4 linked regions of the Pelodiscus sinensis genome follow. The protein of the gene in region 1 binds, or shares a complex with, the protein of each later gene. Links are inferred from orthologs where the notes say so. Each region holds a gene or a part of one and is shown in the gene's direction. Other genes may lie near its edges.

What was found.
Region 2: the proteins of MED1 (region 1) and MED24 are in contact, whole or in part, in a cryo-EM structure (PDB 8T9D), measured with the Homo sapiens proteins. The link is inferred for Pelodiscus sinensis from reciprocal best matches to the Homo sapiens genes MED1 and MED24. Residues at the interface, in NP_004765.2 of Homo sapiens: Phe375, Asn377, Gly436, Leu437, Gln439, Glu441, Ser453, Asn459, Asp460, Ser461, Leu462, Val463, Cys464, Tyr480, Lys481, Gly482, Asp485; in NP_055630.2 of Homo sapiens: Lys7, Ile10, Trp14, Lys15, Arg17, Leu47, Ala50, Met51, Ile52, Gly53, Pro54.
Region 3: MED1 (region 1) and MED18 share a complex: the UniProt entries of both Homo sapiens proteins name them as parts of the mediator complex. The link is inferred for Pelodiscus sinensis from reciprocal best matches to the Homo sapiens genes MED1 and MED18.
Region 4: MED1 (region 1) and MED13L share a complex: the UniProt entries of both Homo sapiens proteins name them as parts of the mediator complex. The link is inferred for Pelodiscus sinensis from reciprocal best matches to the Homo sapiens genes MED1 and MED13L.

The regions. Positions count from the first base shown.
Region 1 is NC_134739.1:11,884,284-11,892,430, forward strand, and holds the start of MED1 (mediator of RNA polymerase II transcription subunit 1), read left to right. Parts: upstream 1-4,883; 5' UTR 4,884-5,075; coding exon 5,076-5,103; intron 5,104-8,147. UniProt on the Homo sapiens protein: Component of the Mediator complex, a coactivator involved in the regulated transcription of nearly all RNA polymerase II-dependent genes.
Region 2 is NC_134739.1:11,073,149-11,080,702, forward strand, and holds the start of MED24 (mediator of RNA polymerase II transcription subunit 24), read left to right. Parts: upstream 1-4,486; 5' UTR 4,487-4,637; intron 4,638-6,823; 5' UTR 6,824-6,832; coding exon 6,833-6,962; intron 6,963-7,554. UniProt on the Homo sapiens protein: Component of the Mediator complex, a coactivator involved in the regulated transcription of nearly all RNA polymerase II-dependent genes.
Region 3 is NC_134716.1:84,446,268-84,453,915, forward strand, and holds the start of MED18 (mediator of RNA polymerase II transcription subunit 18), read left to right. Parts: upstream 1-4,580; 5' UTR 4,581-4,719; intron 4,720-4,946; 5' UTR 4,947-4,959; coding exon 4,960-5,032; intron 5,033-5,872; coding exon 5,873-6,426; 3' UTR 6,427-7,648. UniProt on the Homo sapiens protein: Component of the Mediator complex, a coactivator involved in the regulated transcription of nearly all RNA polymerase II-dependent genes.
Region 4 is NC_134725.1:12,063,630-12,071,592, forward strand, and holds the start of MED13L (mediator of RNA polymerase II transcription subunit 13-like), read left to right. Parts: upstream 1-4,790; 5' UTR 4,791-5,305; coding exon 5,306-5,377; intron 5,378-7,963. UniProt on the Homo sapiens protein: Component of the Mediator complex, a coactivator involved in the regulated transcription of nearly all RNA polymerase II-dependent genes.

The DNA.
Region 1 (8,147 bases):
GATTGGAGCCACATGAGAAGTACCTCTCCATGTCCACTGCAATTCCAGCGGGCACAGCTGGGGGAGGGGTATAGATGGGACTGGTGCAGGTTCATCTGTCCCCTGTGCTCTCCAGGCATAGTGAGGAAAGCAGCAAACTGTGCACTTCCCTGTCACTCCCTGACATAGGGGAACAGCCAACTGTGTCCTGTACAAATTGGGAGAGGGGAATTTGAGCCCTCCCTAACAAGGCCCTGTGGGGGTGGGCGCCTCAGGGCTGTGGCAGTCTCATATGAGGGGGGCACACCCCTCGCCAGCTGCTTTCATCTGCCTGGTGATTCTGTCTCTTTTCTGTTTGGTTTGGTGAGAAGCAATCCCATTCCAGGCATATCCTATTTTCCTGGCATAACCAAACCTTTATCTTCCTTTAAACTCTCTTGGGCTACGTTTACACTCACGGCTTCTTGCGCCAGAAATATGCAAATGAGGCTAAGCGTGGAATATCGCTGAGCCTCATTTGCATACCTAATGAGCCGCCATTTTTGCAGAAGAGGCTCTTGCGCCGGAAGGAGCTGTCTACACTGTCCTTTCTTGCGCAACACAAACCCTCTTGCACAATGCCGTTATGCCGATTACTTTTCAGGAAGAACGGCATTGCGCAAGAGGGTTTTTCTTAGCCAGATTCTGGCTAAGAAGCTGCGAGTGTAGACATAGCCCAAGAGAGTTTAAAGGAACATAAAGGTTTGGTTGTGCCAGGAAAATAGGATATGCCTGGAATGGAATTGCTTCTCACCAAACCAAACAGAAAAGAGACAGAATCTGGCTAAGAAAAACCCTCTTGCGCAATGCCGTTCTTCCTGAAAAGTAATCGGCGTAACGGCATTGCTCAAGAGGGTTTTTGTTGCGCAAGAAGGAGCAGTGTAGACAGCTCCTTCTGGCACAAGAGCCTCTTCTGCTAAAATAGCGGCTCATTAGGTACGCAAATGAGGCTCTGCAATAGTCCATGCTTAGCCTCATTTGCATATTTCTGGCGCAAGACACCGCGAGTGTAGACAGCCTTGGATATGTAGTAAATCAGCAAATCTACTGCTTTATTGGGACAAATTTCCCTTACTTTTTTGGTTAAATATTCATGTATTTGTATTCACTACCTCACTTGGACATGTGATCAGGCCCAGCCAATGAGTTTGCAGAGCCCAAGGCAGCATGTTGTGGTTAGCTGCACCACATGGCCAGGCAACTCCCAGCAAGGGAAGCAAGCAAGTAGGAGGGTGCCAGGCAGTGCAGGGACTTAACAGCACAGGGCCCAATGCAGCCTCCTTGCTCACTTTGCCCTAAGTCCAGGCGTGTATGTGATGATAAGTCATTGTAGGGTTGCCAAGTGTCCGGTTTTCTACCGGACAGTCCGGTATTTGCGCCCTCTGTCCGGTAGAAAAATTCAGAAAATACTGGAAATGTGTAATGTCCGGTATTTTCTGATTTTTCAGCTGGGCACTGGACGGAAGCCTGGCGGGGGCGGGGGAGCGACTGGGAGGCGGGGCCGCGATTGGCGCTGGGAGCCCTGTGGTTGTGTGCAAAAGCCAGGTGGGGCGGGGCGGGGCAGGGGCAGTGGCCCGGACTCCCAGCCGCTCCCCCTGCTGGCTTCTGTGCACAACTAGAGGCTCCCAGCGCCATTTGCGGTCCAGCCTCCCAGCTGGGAGCTTCTGGTTGCATGCAGAAGCCCGACGGGGGAACAGCTCCCAGCCACTCCCCCTGCCCCCACCCGGCTTCTACTAGAAAATAGAGGGAGTGCCTGCCGGGAGTGCAGACTGTTGGACTGCAGCTGCAGCCAGTGGCTGCACCCCCCTGCCAGCTTTGCTCCTCCCCCTCCTCTGGCCGCCCATCCTCCCATCCAGCCCCCGCAGCCCCCGATCCCCCCCAGTTCTGCTTCCCGTCCCCCCTCCCTCCTTTTCCATCCCCCTGGCCCCCAATCCTCCTCCCAGCTCTGCTTCCCGCCCCCCTTCCTCCCAGCCTGCCCCACCTCCCCTGCCCAAGATCAAGTGTGTCTGGTATTTTGGGGGGGGAGGGGGAATCTACCTGGTAACCCTAGTCATATGTATCTTGTGCAACTGCCACAGGGTAGATTTGAACCTAGGCCCTCTAGTGCTTAGTGTAGGACAGTGATAGAAATGTAGCTGTGTTAGTCTGGTGTAGCTGAAACAAAATACATAGACCTGTATTTTGTTTTAGTGTAGGACAGTGGTTCTTAACCTTACTGCAGCCTGCACCTCTTTGGTTCTCAAAATATGTTCTCATACCCCTTATTAAAAATCATTGAAGTAGGTCAATTCTTTAAACATGATATATCATAAAAATCTGGCATGTCTCGCACCCCCCAAAAAGGTATTTTGCACCCCCAGGGGATGCATGCACCCCAGGTTAAGATCCGCTGGTGTAGGAGCTTCTACAGCCTGAGCTATAAAGGTAGGTGGCTTTTAGTTGGGGCTGTAGAGCTCACTCATTCTTACATCTCTCTGTAAGTGGTCTAAGTGCCACTACTGGGACAGTGAACTACACCCACTAGGTGTGTGAGTTACATCTGCACAATTAGCCATTGAATGGGGATACATGGTTTCCTTGGAGAAAGAAAGAGTCTACTCCATTCATAAAAATTGCCTGAGCTACCACTCAGGAAGAGGGTCTTCAGCTGTGGCTTATTAACTGGCAGTCAGGCCAGAAAAAGGGAAGGTACAAAAGCAGGCTAGGTGTCTTTAGTGTAGAGAGGTTGTGCTTCTGGAGTTGGGGAGGAGGAAAAAATGGTTAGACAGGCTTTCCCAAGAAGAAACTGTTATTTGTGAAACTATAGGAATGAAACAGGCATTAGTCTTGAGTTCTGCAAAAGGGAATCTTTCTGTTTAAGCTACAGGAAGCTGGAGCTGTGCATTTAGGCCTGACTGGGACTGCCTACTAAGAACTAGACCCTTTATCTTCCTCCAGTAGAATGCCCTGTGCTTGAGATTTTTTTCTTGTATTGTTACCCCCATTAGAGTGCTAGTGATGACCTCTTTATTCTTAAATGCCTGTAAAGTGCTTTGAGGCCTTCTGTTAAAAGCAATCTGTTGCAAAGGTCAAGAAATCTTCAACTGCAGAAGATGTAACTCAAAGAAAAGGAGCAAAAATAACTACTGGATAAAAAGAATGTAAAAATACTTAATATATTCTGAAAATATATGTTGTTTTACATGGATTTTTGTTAATTGTAAAGGTGCTTATTAACTACAACTTCTTTGGGGAGAAAAAATTTAAAATCTATAGTAAATTGAAAAGCTCACTTCAGGTATGTTTAGAACTGTAACCATTAATGTATGGCCTAATTTTTTTGTCTAACAATCCCTGTAGCAGAAGTTATGGATCAGATATTACCTCACCTGCAATACATTAAATATTAGATACATCTTCTGTTGGACCAGCTTCTGTTGGTGAAAGAGACAGTTGTTTGAATGTATACAACTCTTCTTTAGGTCTGGGGGACATACTCAAGAGTGTCCTAGTAAAATGCAAGGTGGGACTGATAGGTGTAAGGATTTAATATATACTGCAAGAAACCATTCAAGGTGAGGTTTGGGACCGAGGCTTGTACTTTGAAGGTGTGTGTGTGTATATATATGTATGTCTTCCTTTTGAGGATGAGGACTGAGAGATCAGATAAATCATAATTTTATGAAAAGTATGTAGTTAACTGCTGACTTGGTGTTGTCTAATTGTGAGCTCACTTGGAGAGCATACTGACTTCTCCTTTCACCTAAATAGTTATTAGAGCATTTAGTGCACTGGGTGAAATACATCAAAGGATGTGGTAGGCATGTATAGGACCTATGGATCTCAGTATCAGGGCAATGTATTTATGTTCTCTTACCACCAAGAAGTTGAAGTAAAAGATTGCCTCATCTACCTTGTAGCCAACACCAATAGTGTGAATTAGGTATGTACAGAGTTATGTAATTGGCATATGTAATGAAACCACTAGTCCCTCAAGTCCTTTCTTGTCCCATTTTACAACGTAAAGTGGATTCAGATTGGATTACTGTAAGTTTTTTATGGAGTCTGACTCAGAGGAGAAAGTAAGGGGGTGCACGCAGCTCCAGCAAACACCGGCTGAGCTGTGGCAAAAGCCAACACTGAGCTATTTAAAGAGTTGGAAGGAACCCAGCTTGCAATAGGACAGTACCAGTAATTTTGTTACTTTCATTGCTGGTCTGACTTGAGGGGCTGCTTCTGCAGCTTCCTCTGTAACCCCTGCCCATCACCTAGTAACACACTTGAATCTCTTCACTACCTCCTTTTACACAGGAAATGTTCTGCCTCCTATTGATGTCGGGGATCCTGATTTCATAATAGTAAAGTGACAATTGAAACAGTCAATGAGGAACTTAAGTTAGGACAACATTCTTTCTGGTCGAGAAAAGACTCGGGCATCGTTTAAAGTATTTTGTGCTGCTTAATCGCTTAGATGGTTGGGGGGTTTTGGATTTTTTTTAAATGTCAGCTTGCCTGCACTTCCCTCTGCAGTAATCAAGTTTTTATTTTTTTGCTATTTTGCAAAGGCAGGGGCGGGGGAATGTAACTTTGCCGTTTAAAAGTTTTTGTTTTAAACTATTTGTGTCAATTTCTTGCAATTTTTTTGTTTGTTTGCAACACTCCGGCTACAGCGCGGAAATTTTTTTTTTCCAGCTGCCGACGCACAATCCCCGCCCCTCTTCCCTCCCGGAAGCAGCTGCCGGGGCTGCGCGCTGGCCCTGCTGGGCCCGGCATGGGCGCACACGTGCCTCCTGGGCCGGGGAACGCCGCACGCCGGGCCCGGCTGCCAAGAGGGGCGCCAAGTCTCGCGAGAGGACGAGCCTACGCCCGTCCCGCGCTCGCGAGGCGTCCGGGAGGCCGCGAGAAGGCGGAAGTGTCGCGCGCGTTGGAGCGCGGCGATGGCCGTTGGGCTGGCGGCGGCCGCCGCGGACTGAGGCCCGCGCGGGAGGGGCCAGGCCGCGGGTCGCTGCTCTGCGCCAGCCCGGCGCCTGCGGCCTGCCCCGGGGCCCTTTCTCCTGGGCCCCTCACAGGCCCGCGGGATGAAGGCGGCACAGGGGGGCGCCGAGGGTGAGTCCGGGCTCGGGGGCCCGCCCTGCCCGCTGGGGGGGCGGCGAGCCGGGGGGGGCTCGCCCCTTGGAGGGGGGAGGGGAGCCCCGCACTGGAGGGGGGAGGGGAGCCAGTAGGGGACGCCCTGACTTCTAGGGAAGGGGGGAGATTCACCCCCCGAGATCCTGCGGCCCCCCCGATTCTAGACCCCCCCCGAGATTCTGCAGCCCCTCAGCTCTGCAGGGTGGGGGTTGATCCCTGCTCTTTGCCTAGCCCTGGGCCACTTAGTTCCTCCCTCCCCCTCCCCCCCGATTATTACCATGCTCCCCTGCACGGGAGGGGGCCAAGGAGCCGCCCCCCCTTCATAAAACAGCACTGCAGCCCGCACGCACTGGAGTTCTTCGCCCACTGGTGCCCTACCGGTGTGTTTGGTTGCACGGGGCTTCATGTCCCTCGCACCGGCTGCTGTGTCGTCTTGGGTGCAGCCTGAGGACAGCACAGCTGTTTGGTTCAGTGGTGGGCAGCCTGCAGCTCCTGGGGGTTTTACAGTGATAGAGATGTAGCCGTGTTAGTCTGGTGTAGCGGAAACAAAAAACAGGATGATGCAGCACTTTAAAGACTAACAAGATGGTTTATTAGGTGATGAGCTTTCGTGGGCCAGACCCACTTCCTCAGATCAAATAGTGGAAGAAAATTGTCACCATTTTCTTCCACTATTTGGTCTGAGGAATTGGGCCTGGCCCACGAAAGCTCATCACCTATTAAACCATCTTGGGGGTTTTACGTGTGTTTCCCCCCTTGACCCTCTGAGACACTTTGTTTACCCCTTGCTCACATGCAGGGTGGCCAGATTCCACTGGCTTCCCTCCTGCTGGTATTGCTAAAGTGACACACATGTAAAATAAAGGCATGTGAAGTGCATGCTGATTGCACACCACCTTGACCGAGAGAGCTGTGTGCTCCCTCTGTGTCCCGTCAAAGCACTGCTCTGGTTTAATTGGCCTGCACTGCAAAATCTAGGTATGTGAGCGCTGTGTGCAACACTACCTTAGCCTGGGAGACCGTCTTGGTTATGACAATCTGAGGCCCACTGAGATGGAGCCACTCACTATCCTTAGTTGCCTGTCACTGGTCTAGTATGAGATGGTCTATCTGGGGCTGCATGGACTCCTGGCATACAAAAAGTGTGGGTACCCAAGCTATGTTGCTTCAACTTGATCCTGTATGCCGCATAGAAGGAAACAGGTCCTCCTATGCCAGGCTTTGTTGATTAAAATAGCTTGCTTTTTTTATCAAGATGCAATACTATACATCTTCTTGGGACGAGAGTAGCATAAAATAGACCAGATTGTTGCCATCTTCATCAAACATGCCCTTCAGTTGCTATTATACTGTGAGTGAATGATACAGTTTGTCTAAAGTTCCCAAATTTTTTCTGAGCATGCCTTTGGGCATTCATGTGCTATTCACATGCTCACCTGTGTGGGATGTCTAGTACCCATGGGGTGGATGTTCAATACCCAGGATTGGGGAGGGATGCCTGCTACATATAGGAATCAGAGTAGATGGCTACGTCTAGACTGGCATGATTTTCTGCAAATGCTTTTAACAGAAAAGTTTTCCGTTAAAAGCGTTTGCGGAAAAGAGTGTCTAGATTGGCACAGACGCTTTTCTGCAAAAAGTGCTTTTGCGGAAAAGCGTCCGTGCCAATCTAGATGCACTTTTGCGCAAAAAAGCCCCGATCGCCATTTTCACAATCAGGGCTTTTTTTGTGCAAAACGAATCTGAGCTGTCTACAGTGGCCCTTTTGCACAAAAGCTTTGCGCAAAAGGGACTTTTACCCAAACGGGAGCAGCATAGTATTTCCGTAAGAAGCACTGATTTCAGACAGTAGGAAGTCAGTTTTCTTGCGGAAATTCAAGCGGCCAGTGTAGACAGCTGGCAAGTTTTTCTGCAAAAGCAGTTGCTTTTGCAGAAAAACTTGCCAGTCTAGACACAGCCGATGTACCAAGGAGGAGTTTTCATTTCCTATAGGGTTTGGGGTGGTCTTGGGTGCTGAGAACTGACTCCCTGCCTGTCACACCTACTATGAAGGGAAGCAAATGGAGTCCTGATGAAAGGCTGGGATCAGGAGGGCAGCAGAATGCTGCATCCAATGATTAGTAGTCCCCTCCTGACTTTGGCCCTTTGGTGTGTCCTTGGGGTATTGAGGCTCTGTCTGCTTCCCCTGCTGAGACACTGTCCAGCAGGGGAAACAGACGGGGCTTGGATCTCTGCGGCTGCACTGATGGGTTGGGGCAGGCAGAGGCTGTGTCCTGCAGGATTATCAAAAGTAAGGGAACAGCCTACAGCTTCTTGCTTGCAGAGTGTCTTCTACTTGCCCAGCAAAGCATGGTATGGGCCAATTGGTAACAGTGGCAGAATGAGATGAACAGGGAACCTGATCCCAACAGTTGAGTGTCCAGATTGTCCACAAAGATTCCCGCCTGCGTCCTCTGCTGGACTGGACCCCTCGTGATTGGACCCTTCAGCGTTCCCCACGGTTTGGGAACCTCTGACCCATTCCACCACCAACCTGGCTGTGTCTACACTGGGCCACTTATTCCGGAAAATCAGCCGCTTTTCCGGAATAAGCTGCGAGCTGTCTACACTGGCCCTTGAATTTCCGGAAAAGCAACGATACTCTACTGTACAAAATCAGCCGCTATTCCGGAAAAACTGTTCTGCTCCCGCTCGGGCATAAGTCCTTATTCCGGAACACTGTTCCAGAAAAGGGCCAGTGTAGACAGCCCAGTAGTCTTTTCCGGAAAAAAGCCCCGATCGCGAAAATGGCGATCGGGGCTCTTTTCCGGAAAAGCGCGTCTACATTGGCCACAGACGCTTTTCCGGAAAAAGGGCTTTTCCGGAAAAGCAGCCTGCTAATGTAGACGCTCCTTTTCCGGAAAAACTGAAAACGGAATAGTATTCCGTTTTAAGCATTTCCGGAAATTCATGCCAGTGTAGACACAGCCCCTGAGTTTAGAAAAGTCCCTATATGTTTGTTTACGTGAGCAGTAAATTACATC
Region 2 (7,554 bases), about 810 kb from region 1:
GATGAAGACCCGGGGTGGGGTGGGTGGGGGGGAGAATTTTGTAAGACTCGTGTGGCTGATCCTTACTCTGAGCCTCTGTCCTCTGCTCCCTGCTGCGGGGGAAAGGCAAAGAGCACCATCCTGCCCAGCCACAAGAGAGGCGAAGAGGTGGGTTGCCGCTTGCATGGAAGCAAGGGACTTCGACCTAGACGGCTCTGTGCTGCCCCAGCACAGAGACACAGAACTGCCTAGTGCTAGATCTCAGGGCTTCCCGTGCTGACAGGCCAGACCCCTGGCATGACAGCGCAAGGGGAATCTCCGTTAGCAGTAAGGGGCCTATGACACGCGGCCCCGAGAAGTTGGTGATTCCACCCTGCAGGGGGCAGTGATGAGTAGCTGGTTGTGCTGCCGTGGTGCCATTCACCCCAGACAGGGCCAGCGAGCGCTCGGTCTGCGGCATCCTCGGTACTTTGCCGGTGGGGAACCTGCAGGTGTCCGGCCCTGCTGAAAACCAGGCTGCGCCCTCACGCCCAGGGGCCGTTTCATGCTAGCCCACCCAGGCTGGGCCTGGTCTGCCTCTTGGCTGCGCCTCGGCGCCCGCTAGAATTCGTTCAGCCCACGCTGTAAACGTGGCCTGGTCTGCACCTTGAGATGCACGATCCTCGAGGACGACCATGGAGCAAGGGGCCAACCCCCCCATTGGCATGTCCGTGGCACCAGGGCCTGGCCTGGCCCAGCCCCGTGGCCGTCTGCAGCAGAGCCCACGCCCGGAGCTGCCAGCTCTCTGGGTTAACGCTGCCAGGGACCCGGCTCCTCCTCCAGGTTCCCTTCCAAGCCGCTGCCCAATTTCTCTGGCAGATGGCGAACGACACAGGTCTCTGGTGTGAGCGCAGGGCATGTGACGGGGAGACGCTGGCTTTCGGGGAGGGGGAGCCGGTGATGTGGGCGCACCAGCCAGCCAGCCCGGGAGGGTGGGTGGCATGTTGCGGGGGGAAACAGATGCCAGGAAAGAGAGAGAGAAGAGAGGCCCCAGCCCAGCTGCTATGCTGGGGGGAACGTTCCCTGCGGTTTCGGCTACTGCCAGTCCAGAGCATCCTCCCACGCAGCTCCCACTGCAGTGCTGAGTAGAGTGCGTGGGCACGGGCAGTGCAGCTGTGTCTGCTAGGGCCCACGAGAACAGTGCTGGTAGAATGCAGCTGTGGGTCTCGGGGGGACTCTGGAGGGAGCTGCACGAGAGAGAGAGAGCATGTGCATGCATGCGCTGCCCCCTGCTGGACTGAATCCGAATGACCCAAATGTGTGTCATAGGCCCCTATATCATTAATAACCAATGGGGAGACTCCTCTAGCTTAAGCCCTGAGCTCTGCCGTGGAATTCCCAGGGCGCCCACCGTGGGGGTGTCGATACTATTTGGCCTCCCACTCGCATCATGGTGTCCAGCCAGTTCAACCGGCCAAACAGCCGCCCGTGGCTAGCCGCTAGCGCATGGGTCACCACGGCTGTAGCCTCTCCCCAAGAGGCTGGTGGGTTGCGTGTCTGAGACAAGCCTGGTGAACCCCTTTCCCAAGAGCAGGAATCCAAGACAATGCCGCCAAATCAAGGGACCCAGGAGACCTGGCCCCTGTTATTAGCTGTCCCGTGAAATCTGCAGTGGGACCTAGGCCCCTGCGAGTGTAGTCAGCTAGACCAGGCGTGGGGGGGCTGGGCACAGCTGCAGGGCAGAGGAACAGACCTGGCCAGCTCTTCGGAGCCCCAATTCACTAGTCCCTGGCTCCTGGGCAGGAGTCGGTGGCCCCTCCCCAAATCACTCCGCCCACTAGGCGCTACACAGCAAAGGGGGCGGGGGCGTCAGCTCCTCAGCCGGCCTGTGCCAGGTTCCACCTGGGAGTGGATAGGCAGGACGCTGATTGTGCGCTTGGCCGTGGCAGGGCAATTCCACCCTGGCGTTGCCACCTCCCCTCGAGACGGGGACGCGAACAAACGCCCGCCAGGCTGTGTCCCTTCAGAGGCGCGGGCAGAGCTGTGAGCAATACCGGTAGGAAAAAACCAACGTGGGCGAAAACCAGCACAATCTTGCCACCTACACATAGACCTCCAAAGGGCCGTACGTGGGCTGCAGGTTGCCCACCATTGAGTTGCACCCTTCCCTACGGCGTAGAGAGGTGCAAAGAACTGGTACAAATACCAGCGTATTCCAGAAGGCTCTCCAATGTCCCTCCTTGCGGATAACCCCCGATCTTCTTCTTTCTCTGCATTGCTGTAGTGACACCCCACCGTGGCGCTGGGCTCTGTACAGACACCGAAAACGGAGCTAATCCCTCCCCCAAAGAGCTTACAATCTAATACAGGAGACAACAGATGGGGAGAGATGAGAGTACAAGAAAATCTCCCCTCCCGTCCCCCTGGCCTGGCTCTCACCCCCTTTCCAAGTCCCTATCACATCCACAGGGGTTTCTCCGTCCCGGGTCATTTTCAAATTACGATTGGATTTTTTTTCCCTACAAGAGCCCCCTCTAGGAATGATCTAGGCAAGATCCTGTGGCCTGGCCAGTCAGACTAGGTGACCGCAAGGGTCCCCTGTGGTCCTGGAGCTGACGGCCCTGATCTTTGTGGTTGCTGGAGCGATGCTTTCTTGGGGAAAAGAGGACGGAGTGAATTATTAAACACGTCTAGCCTCGTTAAACGTGCTGGAGCAGTTGGAAAGGACGAGAGAAAAGCCGAGCCCGGTGCCCCGGGCCCTGTCCGAACTCTGTGCAAACCAAGGCAAGTCCATCATAGAACCATAGAACCATAGAGCTGGAGGAGACCTCAGAAGGTCATCAAGTCCAGCCCCCTGCTCTAGGCAAGACCAATCCCAACTAAAATGGAGGAGAGACTGGTGAGGTTTTTAATGCCTCGGATTGTGAGCAGGTGCCGGCCTTCCTGCGTGCTTGGGAAGTGCCTGCCTGGCTCTTGGCACACACAGCCGTACAGAGCCAACTAGGCACTGTCAGACTGCGTCTCAACAGAGACAGCACGTGGCTAGCTCACTGCAAAAAGCCAGTTTCCCTCTTTGGGGGTTGGATGCACTCGGTTCGATTTTGGATGTTGCATGTCATTTCTACTGTCCTATACTGCTCTGTGTGGGCGTGCCTCAGTTTCCCTAGGCGCCGCACTGGTGCCCACACGGGAATGGGAGTTTTGGATGTGACTCTCCGGGAGGGGAGGCTGCCCCAGCCCCTCATGTACACAATGGCCCAGACTCACTGTAACATGAGCCTGGGAGGGGGTGTGTGTACAAACAGGTGACACCTTTTGCAGGGGAAGCTGGACAAAGGAGGTGGGGCTGCCTGCAGGGTGTGAGTTGGTCTGGCTTAGGATCCAGGGAGGGGGCCCAGGGCTCTGGGCTCCCCTCTCCCCAAGACGGATGGTGCCGGCCGCTTCTGGTCCTGTGCTGACACATCTGTGCTACGCTGTGTCCCTGTGAACCAATAACCCTTCTGACCGACCTGCCGGCGAAGAGTTATGTCTGGCTGTGGAGCGGGGTGCAGGGCCAGTGACCCCCACCCTTTTGGTGACACCCTCTTTTGCTATTCTCCCCTTCTCATCAACTGCTGGGCAGGGTTGTCCTTAACATGCAGGGACCCTCTGGTACGGTTGCCAGATGGTTTCAACAAAAATACCGAACACACTTGACATTCCATCACAATCTGCATTCCATCTTATTTAGAAAACGCCGGACATTTCTATTTTCTCATTTCTATTTTCTCAATTTGTTTCCCGAACAGAAAGCTCCAATACTAGACTGTCCGGTTCAAAACCGGACCCCTGGCAACTCTACGCTCTGCCCCTCTCCCCCCACCCCGCATCCCACCCCTTGCAGCCAGGCTGGGTGAGTTTCTTAGAGCTGTGATTTGATCATCTTCAGCAATGCGGTAATGAAAAATTTAAAACCAGAAAAAAAAAAAAATCCTGAAATTCCTGATAACAATGTTTCCCAAATGGGGTTCTGCGGAACCCCGGGGTTCCACAAAGTGAAAATAAGGGTTCCGCAAGAAAATTCCATTACAACCACATTTTATGATTTAAAGAAAAAAATAATATTTAAGCATTTATGAATTGGATTGAAAACAATTTTCATGTGTGTTGATCGCATGACCTTGTTTAGCATTTGTTTATGACGATCCTTACTTATTTGTGGGCTACTTTTTCAGCTCCATATATTAGACTGTTATTCGGGGTGCTGCAAAATTCTGCCCAATAACATGGGTAAAACCAAAAAAGCAGTCAGGTAGCACTATAAAGACTAACAAGACTATCTCATTATTCACAGAGCTACGTGGCTGCTTTTTTTGTGTGTTACCAAGATCAGACGCACACCGCTACCTCTCTGCAAATAAAATTGGGACCCTCTGCCCTATAGCTTGGAAAATGCCACTGCCCCTTCCACCCCCAGTCAGAGGGGCGGCCCGATGTCTGTGGATGGGACCGCCTCCCCCGCCGCCGCCGGCAGCCAGAGAGAGCCCCGCTCCTGGGCCGCCAGCCTCAGAAAACTACCGCTCCCAGCAGCCTCCGCGGCGCGCGGCGCGCGTCCAGCCAATCAGTGGAGGGCGTGTTGGTGGGTGCCAAGATGGCGGAGCCCAGGGCGCGAAGGAGGCGCTGTTTGTGAGGCCTGAAAGGTGAGGGGGCGGCCCCTGTCTGTATGTGGGGAGGGGGGGAGCGCCCCCCTCGGGGTGTGTGTATGTGGGGGGGTGCTCCTGGGTGTATATGGGGGGGCTGTGGGGAGCACCCCCGGGGTGTATGTATGTGGGGGGAGTGCTCCTGGGTGTATATGTGGGGGGGGCTGTGGGAAGCACCCCTGGGGTGTATGTATGTGGGGGGGAGTGCTCCTGGGGGCATATGTGGGGGGGGCTGTGGGGAGCACCCCTGGGGTGTATGTATGTGGGGGGGAGTGCTCCTGGGGGTATATGTGGGGGGGCTGTGGGAAGCACCCCCAGAATGTAGGTATGTGGGGGGGAGTGCTCCTGGGTGTATATGTGGGGGGGGCTGTGGGGAGCACCCCTGGGGTGTATGTATGTGGGGGGGAGTGCTCCTGGGGGTATATGTGGGGGGGGCTGTGGGGAGCACCCCTGGGGTGTATGTATGTGGGGGGGAGTGCTCCTGGGTGTATATGTGGGGGGGGCTGTGGGAAGCACCCCTGGGGTGTATGTATGTGGGGGGGAGTGCTCCTGGGTGTATATGTGGGGGGGGGCTGTGGGGAGCACCCCTGGGGTGTATGTATGTGGGGGGGAGTGCTCCTGGGGGTATATGTGGGGGGGTTGTGGGGAGCACCCCTGGGGTGTATGTATGTGGGGGGGAGTGCTCCTGGGTGTATATGGGGGGGGCTGTGGGAAGCACCCCCAGAATGTATGTATGTGGGGGGGAGTGCTCCTGGGTGTATATGTGGGGGGGGCTGTTGGGAGCACCCCTGGGGTGTATGTATGTGGGGGGAGTGCTCCTGGGTGTATATGTGGGGGGGGGTTGTGGGGAGCACCCCCAGGGTGTATGTATGTGGGGGGCATGGGGAAGTGCCCCGGGTGCATGCGTGTGGGGGCAGGGGCAGCACCCGGGTGTATGTGTTGGGGGGCGGGAGCAACGCCCCCACATGTAGATGTGCCCCTCCCTCCCTCAAGCAAGTTAAAGGGGTGCTGGTAGGTGATAGGGCTCACACATGCACATCTCTGTGCCCCCTGGGACTGCCCCACTGGGGCAGATGGGGAAGCAGGGTGATGGGGTTTCACACCTTCTCCTCTAGCCACAGGAGCCTGCCCCTTCCCACGGCTGGGAAGTCCAAGAGCCCTGGCTCCCTACCCTTCTGCTCTAAATGTTAGACCTCACTTGTTTCCCAGATCTGGGAGCAGGAAGGGAACCCAGGATTCTCCCCCCCCCCCCACTCCACCCACACCCTATGCTCTATTCATCCTGATGTGATTAGAACTTATGACCCCCTGCGCCCAATACTCCCATGAGCTGATCAGTGGGCTACTGTCTCTTCCTTATAATTAGGCCCCTACCAAATTCATGGCCATGGAAAATGTGTCTCTGACCATGAAATCTGGTATTTTGTGTGCGTTTATCCTCTACTGTACAGATTTCACAAAGGAGATCAGTATTTCTCAAACTGAAGGTCCTGACCCAAAAAGAAGTTGCAAGGGGGGGGGGTCATAAGGTTATTTTAGGGGTGTCATGGCATTGCCACCCTTACTTCTGCACTGCCTTCAGAGGAGCTGGGTAGCTGGAGAGTGGCGGCTGTTGTCCAGATGACCAGTTTTGATGGCAGCACCCTGGTAGCAGCCAGAAGAAATGGTAGCAATACGGTACCATGCTGCCCTTACTTCTGTGCTGCTGCTTTTGGCAGCTTTCATCCAACTCCCCAGCTGCCCACCTCGAAGGCAGCATCACTGCCAGCAGCAGTCCAGAACAAGGTAGCAGTACCACAACTCCCCCAATAATTTGGTGTCCTCTCACCCCCAAAACTCCTTTTCACATCAGGGGACCCCTGCAATCGCAACACTGACATTTCAGATTCAAATAGCTGAAATAATGAAATCTGCTATTTAAAAAATCCTGTGACCCTGAAATTGACCAAAATGGACCGTGGATTTGGTAGGGCCCTACTTATAATGGTCTCCGAGCTGCCGAGTCCTGGCTCCCAGCCTCTTGCATAAACCAGGTTGCACTGCCTTCTGCTAAGAGTGAATCCTTTGTTATAGAAATAAAAGGTGTGCTTGATTGACAGTGCCCCAGGAGAAGTGTTTGGGTGAGAGGGGAGTGGGTGAGAAATGCTGTTATGAACAAGCTGCTGTATCTTCTCTCTGCCTTTCAGAACAGAAAGATGAAGGTTGTCAATCTAAAACAGGCCATTCTCCAGGCCTGGAGAGAACGGTGGAGTGATTACCAGTGGGCCATAAACATGAAGAAATTCTTCCCTAAAGGAGCCACGTGGGACATACTTAATTTGGCAGGTCAGGATTTGGTTTTGTTTGACTGTTTGCGTGCACGTGTCTGTGTTATGTGCGTGGTACAAAGCGAGACACACATATCACCCAGATAAGCAAACTGCAGCAGTTGTATTATGTTTACCTGCATTTCTATGTCTGGGCTGAAAAACTCCCAAATAGAAATGGAAGGTCCAAAGACTTGTGTACATGTGGAGCCCTTCACAGGGACGACTCGTGCTTAAAGCCAAGCGTGTAAATCTTGGGAAGAGTGGAGTATATAGCATGATTGTTGGCTGCAACAACTTGCTCGGCTATTACTGACACCGAGAGATGCAGAATACTTTGGCGGCTAGAGCTATAAATTGGGACTAAAGAGACCTGGATTCTCTTCCAAGCTGGGCTGCTGGTTTGCTTGGAGACCGTGAGCATCTTTTTGTGCCTCAGTTTCTCTATCTGTACAATGGGGGAAATGATCCTGCGCTTCCCTTTAAAGAACTTAACGATCTGTGGCTAAAAAGTGCTGTGTAAGAACTAAGTATTTCTGTTGTTGTACATGTTAGGGTAATATTATTTCTTAATAAACTGAAAGCATCCTCCAACCCACATGTCATTAGAA
Region 3 (7,648 bases), on another chromosome or scaffold:
GAAAACTTACAAGAGCCATTGAAATGTTACTAGAAAAAATAATACAATAAATGGAGCTGTCCATTAAATACTGTATTTGGACCCATAAGGTAATACAGTTTTTTTCTTAACATTATGCAGGAAACATTTGGTAGGTCTATTTTGGTTTGATTTGCTACTGAGGAAAAAAGTATCAGTGGCTATTCGCAATAGTTATCCTGACCAGTCATTGAAGGAAAACTATAAGTGGACTTGAACATCCCTTTTTATTAGAAGGATGGTGTCAGCAGTTCAGGCTTTTTATGGGGATACCCAGGCATTCCAGGGACATGGGAGTGAAAGAGAGGGAATGCTGTTCTCCTTATGTGTCAGCTTAGTATAACTTGTGAGGGATTTGTTTTGTAGAACATCAATTCTAATATTAATTGTGTAGATCTCATAAAGCTAACATGCAAGCCTGAAGACATACTACATGCTAGGTATGCTGTGGTAGCATGTAAATTATCATGAATGTTTATCTTTCTGCAGTATTGTTATTAATCGTTTTTCTTATTTATGCAGAGTTGAAACTGCTTTGTTTCTGTGTTAAACCAGTGATTTATTGTTTAAAGTAACACTGAGCTGGCAATAAATGGTGGTTCGGTGTTTATTTTGGTGAATGTAACTGACATTCTGTCTTGCAGAATTAACATTTTGTACTGTTACTAAATTGTGTACATTTTTGTACAGAAAACTTTTTTCAGTTTCAGTAAAACAATGGAAAAGCATTTTGGCTTAATTGTGATATGTTTAAGAACTAGGGTGCTGAGCTCCATGCTTGCTACACTTGCCAACCCCTCCCTCTCTCTGGCTGAGCCTGATGGTATCATAGTACTTGTTTTATACATAGACAGAGATAAGTGACTAAAAAATATTAAACACACTCAGCTACAGTATTAAGTACTTGCAATTCCGCAAGTATTCTCCATACCACCAAAGGACAGTATGTGAACAATCCCAGAAATGTAACACTTTTCATTGAGGCCGATCTTGGACACTTAGCACTTTTCAAAAAAGAAGACTTTTTGTCTAGCATTTGGCACATGGGTAGAGGTGTGCTCAAACAGAAATTTTTTGCAAAGTCTTTGATGGTCATCTAAGAGAGAGGTGTGACCCTAGACACAAAAATGCACTTTTGCACTCTGGCTAGAACTTTTAAGAGCAGGTTAGACAAACACCTGTCATGGATGGTTTACACCTGGGGTCTCAAACTCGCAGCCCATGGGCCAGGGCCTGCCGGAGTGATTGCACAATCCAGGTTGGGGAGGGCCTGTCTGTTACTAGCCCCCAAGCCTGGCCAATCCTGCCATTGTCCTGGCAATTACCTCCACCAGCAGCAGTCACACCCCCTCAGCACTCCCTGTGGCATCAGGAGCTGTAGGGGAAGTGGAGCGAGTGCACCCACCCAGTATGCTCCACTTCCCCATAGCTCCTGATGCCATGGGAAGCTCCGAGAGGAGGGGTTGGAACTGCTGCCATCATGCACATCAGGCACCCTGTGATCCTCACAGCCATGTACTCTGAGGACAGTGTGCCATGGAGGAAGGAGCGGGGGTTGGAGGTGTTAATGGACTGCCCCTCGCAGAAGTCTGGAGCTGGTTTGCGCAATCACTTATTTAGGGTTGGTCTGTAGGTGGGGAGTTTGAGACCCTTACTCCATCCTATGGAAGTGATGTTTAAGAATGAAGCATTTGGAGGGTAGAGAGAGACATATCCCAGCTCCTTCAAAACAATCTGATGGCCATGTGGAATGTCACTTGGGGTGATTTGAGGCTTTGTTTTGTCATGTAGTCAGTCAAAACCCAGCTCCTTATGCAAGCCCTAGCTACAGTATAGAAGAGGGACAGAGGTGTGACATTGGTACCATACTGTGGAAGATGTAATCTTTGGGTTATGTAGTGGTTCATTTAGAACAGTGGTTCCCAAACTTTTTGGCATCACAACCCCTTTTTGATTTTTGAGAAACCCTCACATGCTCTCCCTCCCACCCCCCTTTCCCATAGCAGCAAAACTTGTTGAGCAAAAAAATTTCCGTTTTGAAGTCTGCCTGGGACACTCCATCCTCCCCTAGCCCCAGCCAGCCTGAGCTCTTTCTGCAGTTTCTATCCGCTCCTTCAAAACAGGATGAGCAGCCTGGGGCTGGGACACAGACTCTCATGGGGCCAGCCATGGGTAGGGTGACCATATGTCCCGATTTTAAATACTCTGACTTGGTGCCCCATCAAGTAGTGAAATGTCCCGGAAAGCCCTGCTGGATATTTCACTACTTGATAAAGACACTGGCGTGGCACGGCAGTCTCCTCCTCTCCCCCGCAGCAGGGCGCATAGGGAAGCTGGGCCAGCTTCTGGTGGCACATGGCCCATCCCTCTCTCCCTCCCCCTGTGGGACTGCCTCTGCTGCATGGGGTCCTGGTTTGGTGGCACCACCTCCTTATCCTTTGGGCTGCTTTGGAGACCGGCAGTTGCTTTTGCGCAAAATCTTGCCACGTTTACACTGGCCGTATTTGCGCAAGAACACTGAGTTTGTACTGTACAAAATCAGTGGTTCTTGCACAAATATTCCGACGCTCCCGCTCAGGGATAAGCCTTCTTGTGCAAGTATTCTTGCTCAAGAGGGCCAGTGTAGACAGCCAAGTTAATTTCTTGTGCAAGAAAGCCCGATGGCTAAAATGGCCACCGCAGTTTTCTTGTGCAAGAGAGCGTCTACACTGGCACTGATGCTTTTGCACAGAAGCAAATCTTTTGCGCAAAGGTACATGCCAGTATAGATGCTCTCTTGCGCAAATATTTTTAACGGAAACAGCTGAGGTGTGTTCCAGTTGGGCAGTCTCGCTGGGACGGGCCTTGTGCTGCTGCTGCTTGACTCCAACTGGAGCTGGCAGTCTGCAGCACTAAAAATAGCACCACAGGGGGCCTCTGCTGCCGTCCCAGCATGCAGTCCTGCCCCGGGAGCGGCAGGAGCTGCGGGGGCTTCTAGGGCCAGACTGCAGGCTCCAGCCCTGCAAACTGCTTTCTGGAAGGCATAAGGTGAGGGAAGGGGCTGGGGAAGAAATAAGAGGAAGGGGCTTGTGTTGAGGGAAGAGGTGGGGGACCAAGGCAGGAGAAAAAAGGGGAAGGCACCAAGCAGCAGGATGGAGGAGAGAGAAATGCTAGGGGGCCAAGAGGAGACAGGAGGGGAGAAGTCAGCAGGGGTGGGAGACGAGAGGGGAGAGACAATGGGGGCAAGAGGAAGGAAGAGGAGAGGGGAGGAGTGTGTGCCTGGAGAAGAGGCATTGAAAGGAGGGGTGGGCATAAGGAAGGCAGGGGATGGAGCAAGTCATGTGTGAGGGCACAGAGGGGCATGAAGAGAACTGAGTCAGAGAGTGGTGAGGGGGTGGGCACCAGGGAGGGACAGGGGAAGGGGGAGGTACCATGAAAGCGCAGAGGTAAGGGAAGATGCAGGTGCCAGGAGATTGTGGGAGTGAAGCAGAAAGGCAGACACTGGGAGGGGAAGGACGGACACCAGAGGAGAGAGGAAGGGCAGGGGGGTAGAGGAAGGTGTTAGGAGAGGGGATGGGGAGGGGTAGCTACGGATGATCAGAGTGGGGCTAGAGGAGGAGTGGACACAGGGCTGGTGCAGGAGAAGGGGGGTAGGTCCCCAAAGGGCTGAGGGGAGTGAGAAGGGCAAGAGCTAGGACAGCAGAGGAGGGTGAGGGGTGGAGGGCAGCAGGCACCAGGGGAATAAGTGGGGCGAAGGGAGGGTGGGAGACATGTTAGCGGAGGGAAAAGGGAGAGGTTTACAAGATATTTAATAATAACTTGGTTGCCACAGTGGCACACATTGGCAGTGGCAGATATAGGGCAGGGCGAGTGGGGCAGCTGCCCCGGGCCCTGCGCTTCAAGAAGCCCTGCGCACGGCACATGCGCTGTGTCCAAGGGGGGGCCCCATGAAATTGTGCTGCCCTGGGCCCCGCAAAATCCTCATCCACCCTTGCACATGGGAACAAGCGCCCATGAACTCAATACTGATGCACAAGACAAAATTCACTCTGCCTGTGGGAGGAAAATCTGAGCGGGAACAGTCCCTCAGCCTCTCCCCTCGCGCTAATGCAATGCAAGTGAATGCTCTTGCAGTACAGTTGCATGCGGGGGCCAGACCCATCGCTACTGGGAGGACAGGGGAGAGCTCTTAGCGGGGTCACAGAGCCCCCTTCGCGTCTGCTCGCTTGGCCGTCGGGCCGGGCCGCACTGCCTGGAGGGGTGGGGCGAATGGGGCTCGGGGGCGTGGCTGACGTGGGCCTAACTTTGGTTCAGAAACTGTGGGCCCCACAGTGCTGGGCCCCGGGCCCTGGCTGCGTGGCGGCTGCAGTAAGGACCGTTCCCTCGCGCGCCTGCCCGCCCGTTGGGCGCCATTTCTGACGCGTGACTCTTACCCCAGAACGTTCTTCCCCCTCTCGCTAAGGAGCTGGGCCAGAGAACCAACTTCAGCCTCTTTGGGGCGCCTCGGGCAAGGCGAGGGGGAGGGGCAGCCCAGGGGGGCCGGGCGGGGTTAAAGGGGGGGGGGCATCTCGCGCACTAAACCGAACCCCGCCCCGCCGCCTCACTCCGCCCGCTTGCCTGCGGCGCATGCGCAGGAAGCCGCTGGGCCTGGGCGGTGGAGGTGGGGTTCGCGGAGCGGAGCTGGGCGCGAGGGAGCAGCCCGTGTAGCGCGGCGCCCTAGAGGTGAGTGGGGAGCGTGCGCCCTGCGCAGGGGGCCCCAGGACCCTCCCGGGCCGGTTCCCACGCGCCCCCTCCCTGCGCCGAGCCGCAGGCTGGAGCCGGGCTGCGCCGCTTGTCCCCCTCGGGCTGCGGGGGGCGCCCCCTCCCAGGCCCCTCCGCCGTGTCGGGGGGCTCCCCGCGCCTGGCCGGCCGCTGCAGTCATGGGCCTGGTTTCTTTGTGCTTCATCTAGGGAAGCCAAAGCCATGGAGGCCCCGCCCGTTACCATGATGCCCGTCACTGGCGGCACCATTAACATGATGGAGTATTTACTCCAAGGTAAGACGGCGGGAAGGTGCGTTTGATTTCGGGTTCCACAGGCCGCGAGGTTCGTCTGAACACGCCCAGCTTGCCTGCGCCCCAGGCGTTGCAGTTGGGGAAGAGGCGGCCATACCGCGAGAAGGTCCTTTTCTGGAAGAGGTTGACGTTTAGGGCTTAACGCTCCAGCAGCAGGGATCTGGCTCTGACCGTGCACTAACTCCTGGACTCCAAGAGGAACTCCTAGGGACCGTCTCCCCCTCCCCTTTCCAAACTCCTTTTTGGTGCAGGATAGTCCCTTAGTGCAGACTTGTTCTGGGCTTTGCTCTTGCCCTTGTAGTTTTTGGTTCTGTGGCAAATCCCTCTGAACGATTTGGTGATAAACTTCTTTGTAGTTATTAACTTTCTTGGCGTCTGTGTGCTGCTGTTGTAGTTACAGTGCAGCATGCAGACATTCAAAACCAGCAGCAGTGCACCTTCAGGTCCTTGATGTGTAGGGAGTGTGTTCAAGCAGTTAGAACTAAGTTATTTTCCTGACTGTTGTTTACTGTCTGATCTTGGGCAAAGTCATTCAGGTGTTGTACACCTCTGATTCCTTTTCTAGAAAATATAAAATAAGGGAATAATCCTCCTTTTGTAAAATGCTTTGAGATTCCCAGAGAAAGAGCACTGTGTATATATTTCCTGCAGCTTTTGCAGCCTCTGCTTTTTGAAAAATGAGCATTGTTTGCTTATTTGCTCCTATTTTTTAATATGGTGAGATAGTTTGGGATATCCCATGCACTGCTGGAAGTAACCATGCAATCTTTGTGACAATAGTAAGCTTTTCAGTGGTGAAATAATTATCTTGTTTTAAATCAGGAAGTGTTTTGGATCAAAGCCTAGAGAGCCTCCTTCACCGGTTGCGTGGTTTGTGTGACAACATGGAACCTGAGACGTTTCTGGATCATGAGATGGTGTTCCTCCTGAAAGGGCAGCAGGCTAGTCCCTTTGTCCTGAGGGCACGGCGCTCCATGGACAAAACTGGAACACCCTGGCACTTGCGCTATTTGGGACAGCCAGAAATGGGAGACAAAAACCGCCATGCTCTGGTGCGCAACTGTGTTGACATTGCCACATCAGAGAACCTTACTGACTTTCTGGTGGAGATGGGCTTCCGCATGGACCATGAGTTTGTTGCCAAGGGCCATGTGTTCCGCAAGGGTATCATGAAGATTGTAGTGTACAAGATCTTTCGCATCCTGATTCCAGGAAACACTGATAGCATTGAGCCCTTGTCTCTCTCCTACCTTGTGGAGCTGAGTGTTGTAGCTCCAGCAGGACAAGACATAGTGTCTGATGACATGCGAAACTTTGCTGAGCAGCTAAAGCCTTTAGTTCATCTGGAGAAAATTGACCCCAAAAGGCTCATGTAAAGGACTCAGCAAATAATCTAGTTCTAACAGCCTCTTCATGCAAAGACTGGACAAGAGTTTATATACCAGTTTCATTCTCCAAATAATGGAGGAGAGATGTCTTAATATTATTTCATGAGACAGGAAATACAACTATCAGAATCAGTAATACAGTGGAGCTGACTGCACGCTGTTGCCAAAAGAGGAATGTATTTTTTTCCCACTTTTTTTTTTTAACTTAGCAATCTTAGGTGTTAGTTTATCTGCTAGTGTTACAAATAAGATGAAAATTAGTTTTTCAGGCAAAAGGTGTTACCCCTTCAACAAATATAGATTTTTTTTTTTTAAAAGCTAGTTTCCTTAGTTAGGACTTGGTTTTCAAAACTGAACTCTCAAAACATAACTTACTTTTAAGACTATTTATTTTAGGTACTTCAGTAAACTGGGCCTATGAAAATAATCTGATCAGTTTCTCTGATTTCTAGTCAATTCCTTTTTCTGCTTCTTACCTATTTGTAAATGTCTGCAGAAGAAGCTTGTAGATATTTAAAAGTGGTATTTTAAAAAATTCTGTACATCTAAGGTTTTGTAAAAAGTCAGTTTTAGGAAAACCAAATTTCTGGGCACCAAATTTACATTACTTCATATTTCTGTTTTGTTTTTGGTTGAATACTTTGATGCCTGAGTTAAATCATAGTGAAATAACACCTGAATTTTGTGTATTACTATTAGCAATTTTTTCCTTCAGTTTTCTGCTGTGGTAAAATTGGGGGTCAATAAAAAAAAATTTGACCAGCAGGTGCACAGAACTCCTGACTGTTTTGATCATTTTGTTGTTAACCATTCTGAGATGTTTGTTTAAACAAGTCCTTATTCTGTGCCTCTGAGTTCTGTAGTCAAATAATAAGTATTTGTTACTGTAATTCCAGAAAAAGTCTTTCGGCTGACTTCTTTCAGGGCTAATATTTATGATAACGTACAGTAACTTTACAATTGTACTTTATTGAAAAAATTATCATTAATGCCAGTAAAGATATACTAGGTTAACTGTGAATGTTTCCTAACATGCACAGAGCAATCTTTTCACTTCCACCCTTGCTGTAGAACTCTGTTTTAGTGGAATGGCATACAGCAGTACAACAGTACAGTTAAGGATAGGTTCTGATGAAGAATATCACATTTAGATGAAACTGCACAAAGGACTTCTAGGTGGACAGTAGAATTATCCATGATGGAATTTGGC
Region 4 (7,963 bases), on another chromosome or scaffold:
AACTGAGGAAAGAGCAGACTAAAACACAGAGGAAAAAATGGTATCTCTGGGCACTGCTTAGGTATAGTGAATGGGAGGCGGGAGGCACATGGATTTCACACAGAGAAGTTTAACCAAACAGCAAAATAAAGAAAAAGAACTTGATCACAACTAAATACACATTTTCCCTCTACTCATGATCCATACTGATCCCTTCTTCAAGGCCCAGTCCATTTCTATGCCAAATATTTCTTGTAGGTATGGTAATTCTGTTTGATTATTTCATCTTGCTTCCTCCAGCTCCTAACTTAGAACTCCCGCACAAAGAGAGATGGCAAGGTATACATTTACAATTTAAATTTCAGCACAGTATTCCATTGGTTCCTCTGGCTTCCTGCCAACACCCTTAGCTCCCTGAGTTTAACCCATTTGGTCACTGGCTGCTGGCCAAGACTCCTCTTATCCATCACACAGTCTGACCCTTTTATCTGGGAGAAGTCAACTGGAGCAGATGACAGTCTGTCCTTCCCCATCCCCTCACTTAGTGTAAATGTAGTAGTTCTGATTTTTAAATGCTCATAATTGAGTGAGGTAAAAACCCTATGGACAAACCTTGGATTTACATTTACCAATCACCAATATTTAAAAATGTAAACTGTCTAATAAATGCAATTGACAAAAGACGCAAGCTCTAATATTACTGTTGGTGGAGTTGGTCCTTTGTTGCTGGAGACCAGGAGTCTAAGTTCCAAACCCAGAGTTGCATATGTGGGTCTGTGATCTGTATGCAACTATGGATTTGTTGCAGAAGTTCTCTTCTGAATAAACATTCTTGACATACACTGAATTCCTCTCTGTTAGTGTTATAAAATAGATCCTAATCATTACAACTGAAACTAATTAAAAAAGTAAATTGCTTAATAAAATGCGATGTAAGAAGTTTCCTCCTTGACGCTTTGACAAAAACAAGACTGAAAAAATCAGCTTTCCTACTGAAAACCAGATCATTTAAAATTGTTGCACAGTCAATACATACTTACGTTTTTAATGGGGGTTGCTAAGTGAATGTAAATTAATCACACATCTTAAATGCTAATACCACACCTGTGATATTCTGGTAGCCAATGAGAAATCCAATTAGTTAGTCCTATTATGCCTGAGCAAATCAGTGTTTGTATCAAAGGGCCATTGTGAACTTGAGAAATGTTTATTAAAAAAAAAATTTAAGTTAAGATATTAAATGATCACCTGGCATTTCCCAGAGCTGACAGTTTTTATTTCAGTGAATGTAGACACCCAGAGAAGCTTGTATTTATAAAATAACGTTGAATTTATTTATATATGTTCAAGTGACATATTTATTTCTCTCCAATGTACAACAAAAATAAAAATTACGATTTTTTTCTGTCACATCACAGGTGAAAAGTGAGGAGCAATGTGACATTTTTGTATGTAGGAGGGTGCCATGTAACCATTCATTCTTTTTTAAAAAATGCTACTGCTGTCTAATGCCCTCAGTATGCCATAGAACAGGAGTGGGCAATACATTTTGCAAGGGGGCCACTTAATGAATTTTCCAATGTAGTCAAGAGCTGGCTTAACCCCTCGCCCCCAGAAGGGGCGGGGCCTGGAGTAGAAGGGGCAGGGCTGCGGACTAGTCTCCCCTCAGAGTTGTCTGGAGCCACAGGCTTTGAAATAAAGACACAGAAAAGGGCTCCCAAATCCCAGCCTCATGGCTAATGGATTGCTGCAGCTATTTAAAGGTTCATAGCTCTGTCCCCTGCCAAGGTAGCGCCATGACTGGGAGCCATGAGCCTGGAAATTCGGTGGCATGGGCAGCAGGATAGAAATAGAAGGCAGCCAGATACAGTCCGGGGTAAATCACAGTGTTAGGAGGGCTGGATCTGGGCCCTGGGACACATTTTACCCAGCCCTACCATAGGCAATGAATTTGGATTGATTCAGCTCTTATAAGCCCTCTCTGTAAAAGAACGTAATAAGAAAATTGAGCGTATCAGCAATAAGATGAAACATGTATGGAGCACGGTTGATTTCTTAGAAAGTATTATCCCCATTTTGTGGATGAAGCAAGTAAGTTTCAGGAAGGCTGTTTGCTGACTGTTCCCTTTGTTGCCCCTAAGAGTGTGTGATGGGGAAGGATTAAAATACAGCTGACTATAGCTCAGACCTGGGCAAAATACAGCGCGTGGGCTGGATTTGATCTGCCAAACCACTGGATTTGGCTCACGGATGCTGCAGTGAGCCCCACACAGGCTCTCTGCTTGCCTTGCCCCACCTGCATGCTGCTCAGACACGTGGCTGCGGGGCAGTTTTACTTTAAAAACTGAGCCCAGAAGGGAGGGGAAGGCAGCTTTAGGAGCTGCTTGTGACCCCAGCACAATCCCATTGGCTGACTTTTGGCCAGAAACTGGTTTTAATAACAGGCAGCCACAAAGAACAAGGGGCTCATAGTTATTCACAGAGCACATGGCTGCAGCCTGTGTTGGGGTGGGGCAGGCAGGGAGGCTAATTCAGAAATGGTCTGCTGGCTAGTAAGTCTCCTAGCCAAAGCCTGCCTCTGGCACCCCAGCCCCTTCATTCCCCAACCTCTGTCCCCAACTCTTGCCATCCTACTCTGCATAACTAAATCCTCTTCCCATCTCCCGCACCCATACCCCCTCCCAGATTAGGCACCCCAATCCCCTGCCCCAGATCACAGTCCCCTCCTGCCCTATCTCACAACCCAAATTCCTGCGCTTCCTCCTGTATCCCAATTCCCTGCCCTAGGTCACAATCCAACCCCCTGTACCCCAGTCCACTGCCCCAGGTCACAACAGCCTCCTTCATCCAAACTCCCTCCCTTACTACAAGCTCCCTTTTGCATTTCTCTCCAATGTACAACAAAAATAAAAATTACGATTTTTTTCTGTCACATCATAGGTGAAAAGTGAGGAGCAATGTGACATTTTTGTGTGTCGGAGAGTGCCATGTAACCATCCATCCCAGACCCCACACCTCCTCCATTAATATCATGGAAGAATGCAGCCCTCAAACAGTTCCCAAATTCTTGGAGTGCCCTCCTCCCCCATCAAACATTATTGGCCACCCCTGCTGTAACTATTACTTCCAAAAACAGAGCAGTAACATAGGTGTATATCTTCTAGTACCATCATCATTAATACCCTATATAAGGGTAAGAGGCACAGCTAAAGGCATCCTACAAAAAGGATGTGGACACATTGGAGAGGGTCCAGCGGAGGACAACCAAAATGATTAGGGGTTGGAGCATATGACTTATGAGGAGAGGCTGAGGGAGTTGGGTCTGTTTAGTCTGCAGAAGTGAAGCGTGAGGGGGGATTTGATAGCAGCCTTCAACTTCCTGAAGGGAGGTTCCAAAGAGGATGGAGAAAGGCTGTTCCCAGTAGTGATAGATGGCAGAACAAGGAGCAATGGTCTCAAGTTGCAGTGGGAGAGGTCCAGGTTGGATATTAGGAAAAACAGGAGGGTGGTGAAGCACTGGGATGGGTTACCTAGGGAAGTAGTTGAGTCTCCATCCCTAGAGGTGTTTAAGTCTCAGCTTGACAAAGCCCTGGCTGGGTCAATTTAGTTGGGATTGGTCCTGCCTAGGGCAGAGGGCTGGACTTGACCTTCTGAGGTCTTTACCAGCTCTATGGTTCTATGATTCTATGACCTGCACTCTTTGCACTCTGGGCCTTACTCTCATGCCCTACTTTGAAGCAAGGAATCACCTTAGCTCTCCCTGACTGTAGTCAGGACTAGTGTGGGGGCACTAGCTGTGTGTCTAGACCACAGGTTTTTTTTAAAAAAACTGGCTTGTTTTCAAAAAAACTTTCCCTAAGTCTAGACTACTGCCACATGCTTTTGCAAGTAAAACAAAAGAGCGTGGCAGTTTTTTTGACTGTGGAAAACCTCATTTTATGAGGAGGAACGCCTTTTTTTTGAAACAAAATGCAGGACAATGTAGCACTTTAAAGACTAACAAGATGGTTTATTAGATGATGAGCTTTCGTGGGCCAGACCCACTTCCTCAGATCAAATAGTGGAAGAAAGTAGTCACAACCATATATACCAAAGGATACAATTAAAAAAAATGAACAAATATGAAAAGGACAAATCACATTGCAGAACAGAAGGGGGATGCGGGGGGGGGGGGGGGGGGAAGGGGGAGGAAGGAAGGTAAGTGTCTGTGAATTGCTGATATTAAAGGTAGGGAGAGTGGGATGTTTGTGAGTTAATGGTATTACAGGTGATAATTGGGGAAACTGTCTTGGTAATGGGTGAGAAAGTTCAAAGTCTTGTTAAGTCCTTGTTGGCAAGTGTCCAATTTTAACATGAATGACAGTTCAGAGGATTCCCTTTCAAGTGCAGATGTAAAAGGTCTTTGTAGCAGAATGCAGGTGGCTAAGTCATTTAGAGAGTGTCCTTTCTGGTTAAAGTGGCAAGAAAGGCTTGTGGAATGAAAACTGTGCTTTTTCGAAAGAGAGCATCCAGACTGCCTGGGAGCGCTCTTTCGAAAGTAGTGCTTGTAGTCTAGACGCTCTCTGGGAAGAGGCTTGCAGTCTAGACTGAGCCCAGGTGCTGCGCCTGAGCTAGGTCGGGAGGCGCTAGGAGCTCGCCCGGGCAGCAGATTCCTTGCTCGAGTGCGCCCCCTGTGGAGCGTCTGGGAGGCAGCAGGAGCGTGTGTGTGTAGGGAGAGACAGAGGACAGACTTGGAGCGCTCGCTTCCCCCGCCGCTCGCAGCTGCCCACGTGGTACGGCGCTGGCCAATGGCGAGGCGCCCTGCGTCTGGCGGCCGCCATTGCTGTCAGAGTGGCGAGCGGCTGAGGCGAGCGCGCGAGGAGGAGTCGCTGCTGGCGCGCGGGGCCACGCGGAGGGCGGCGAGGACGGGCAGGGGCAGCGCGCGCTGTCCGGCCTGCGGCAGTTGCGGCGCGCGGACGAGGCGGCGGCCGCGGGAAAACACCACCCACCCGCCGCGAGGGGCGGGGACAGCGCCCCCCCTCAGCCGCCGGCGCCACTGCCCGCGCCACCCTGAGGCGAGCCCCGCGCCGGAGCGCGCTTGGGCTGCGGGTGCTGGACCCGCCCGCTCGGCTCGTTGCGGATTGTCGGGCAGGGGGGGCGGAGCGAGGCCCCCCCGCGCGGGGAGCGCCCCCTGCCGGTCCCCGGCCCTTCCTCGGGCTGGCGCGTGTGCGGGGCAGGGCTGCGGCGGCCGCCCCTGTGACGGGAGGCAGCCCCGGGCGCTTGTGCCGAGCCGCCGGCCCGTCTCCACAGACATGCCCCGCGCTGGCGGCCGGGCTCGCCGAGGATCATGACCGCGGCGGCGAACTGGGTGGCGAACGGGGCCAGCCTGGAGGACTGTCACTCCAACCTCTTCTCGCTGGTGAGTCCCCGCGGGCAGGCAGCGCGGAGGGGCCGAGCCCGGCGTGGGGCTCACGTAGGGGGCCCCGATGCTCTTTCGAGCAGCCGGGTTGCAACGTGGTTGGGTCGGTGCCGCTTGCCGGGGCTTTATAGTTGGGACCCGGGGGGGGGGGGGGGCTGCTCCCCGCCTGGCCCCTCCTCCCGGCTCCGCTCCCTATGTATGTGGCTCTTTAACAGCGTTTGCGGCGAGCGCGCCTTCCCCGCGCCCAGCTGCATGGCTCTGAATAGGAGATGTCAAGGCAACGGATTGGGTATCCCGTTGCCTGCGCTGCCCACATGTGAGACCGTCTCCTGTGGTAAACAGTCTTCTCTCCCCGCCCCTGCCTGCTTTGACACTTCATGCCCTAGTGCTTTGTGCCTCTTAAACTGCGTGTGCCCCCCCCCCCCCTTTTCGTAATGACAAACGCTGTTTCAGCAGTAAACAGTTCATGCAATGTGATTATCTATAGGACGTGCTCTCCGGCTTCTTGTGTCTGAACGTCAGCTGTCGTTATGAGTTTACAGCCATGCCTCCCTTGCACCGATGGGGGTGAAAGGGATGAAAGACTTTTTTTGGCCTTGGAAGGGAAAGCATTAGCTGAAAATGCAACGTTGAGTTGCTTGATAGCATCTATGTTACCTTCCATCTCACTGGTGGTTGACAACTTTCACTTTGTGCTTAGATGGCATGGTTTAATCTTACAGCAGCTATGATATCCGTTGTTCATACTGAACAGTTGCAAAAACTGTATATTTTAAATCTTAATTTAAAATGAATACAAAGAACGATTACTTGTTATCCGGATTAGTGACATTTTATTTGAAAAGATCTTTTTGCTTTCTTGTATGCCACAGCTGCAAGGAACCATTAGTCAGGTAAAGGTGAGAACTCTTGGGTCCCCAGTAGCAACCCAAGCCAAAAGAGGTGGAGTATAGGATTGTTTATAGGGGAACGATAACTAGGAAGATAAAATGGGGAGCAATAGGGTAATACAAGAAGAGTGGGAGAGGAAATTAAAAAACCAAACCAGACCGAAACACCTCTTTCTTCCCTCCAACCACTCTTCCTCCGCAGCCAAAAAGAACAGATTACAGCTTTACTTTTTTCTAAAGGTGGAGAAGGAATGTGAAATTTAAAAAAAACCCTCATTTTAAAATGTTTAACTTGGAACCTTTAAGTTATGCATATTGCTAGCCTTTGTAATGATAGTTTTGTAATTAACTGTAAACCTCCGTCTTTCCCGGATGATGAACAACCTTTGATGCTTTCCTTTGGTTTGTAGTAGAGAGGTAGCTGTGTTAGTCTGATCTTGCTAAAACAAAAGGGAAAAAATATGTAGCACTTTAAAGACTAACAAGATGGTTTAATAGGTGATGAGCTTTCCTGGTCCAGACCCACTTCCTCAGATCCTGTTATTCTTCCCAGCTCATCTCTGGAGGTGGGGCTGGCAGAAGGCAGAGATGAGCTGGGAGGAATAATGTGATATGAGGAAGTGGGTCTGGCCCATGAAAGCTCATCACCTCTTAAACCATCTTGTTAGTCTTCAAAGTGCTACATAGTTTTTCCTTTTGTTCCTTTGGTTTGTTTGTTCCTGATATCAGGTACCTTGTCTTCATCTCCAAAGAATTATATTCTTGTTGGAGGTTTTCTTTTGCTATGTGTTTGTACATTGGGATCCTTGTAGGAGGCTTTTGGGTGTATGTTATAACAAATACCATCCCCTTTGGCTTTTTATTGACTTCTAACCACTTTCAGAGCTAAATGACACTATTTAATCTTGCATTTATGCTAATGTTTACAGTGCCTTTATATCACCAGTGTATACCGCAAATATAGTAGTGGTAACAGTGGTTTGTGTACACCAGTCTTGATTACTAAGAAAAACTCACCAGTAAATAAAAGAGAAGCAAATGTATCAGGAAAGATTGTCACCAGTAAAATAAAAACAAAACCTCAGTCAATCTTAGTTTTTAAAAAAAAAGACCAATAAAAAAACCTGTTAACTTTATTCACCATGTTTTGGTTAGGAAATTAATATGTTTTGGTAAGTGTTAGGTGGTATAATTGTAGCCCCGTTGTCAAAGTCTGTCATAGATAATATAATTCTTGGTATAAGGTACCATGGATTACAAAGTTTAGATTTTCAAATTTTGTATTAAAGAATTTATACTAAGAAACTTTATAGAACAGCATATTTTTTTAATTATATGCATAATGCCAGTGAAGTAAAAAAAATACAATTATGGAGTTTGCTTTTAAAAGTGAGCTTGCATTCAAACTGATGTATAAATACCTTTATACTTGGTATACTACAGTATAAGGTGATACCACTTCAAATTTGGTCTCTTAAATCTATCTTATTGATTTCACGAATATTTTTTTCTGCAATAACAAATAACATTTAAACATCTGTTTGCAGATATGTTTTATTTAACACAAAATAGCTTGCAAAGCTAAACTTAGCCTAAAATTTGTAGGTGTGGGTAGTACATATTGTTTTTAAAGGGGTCACTTAACCAAGGTAGCCATTTTCATGCTTTTTGGACTTTAAACATGTTGTAATGGGAT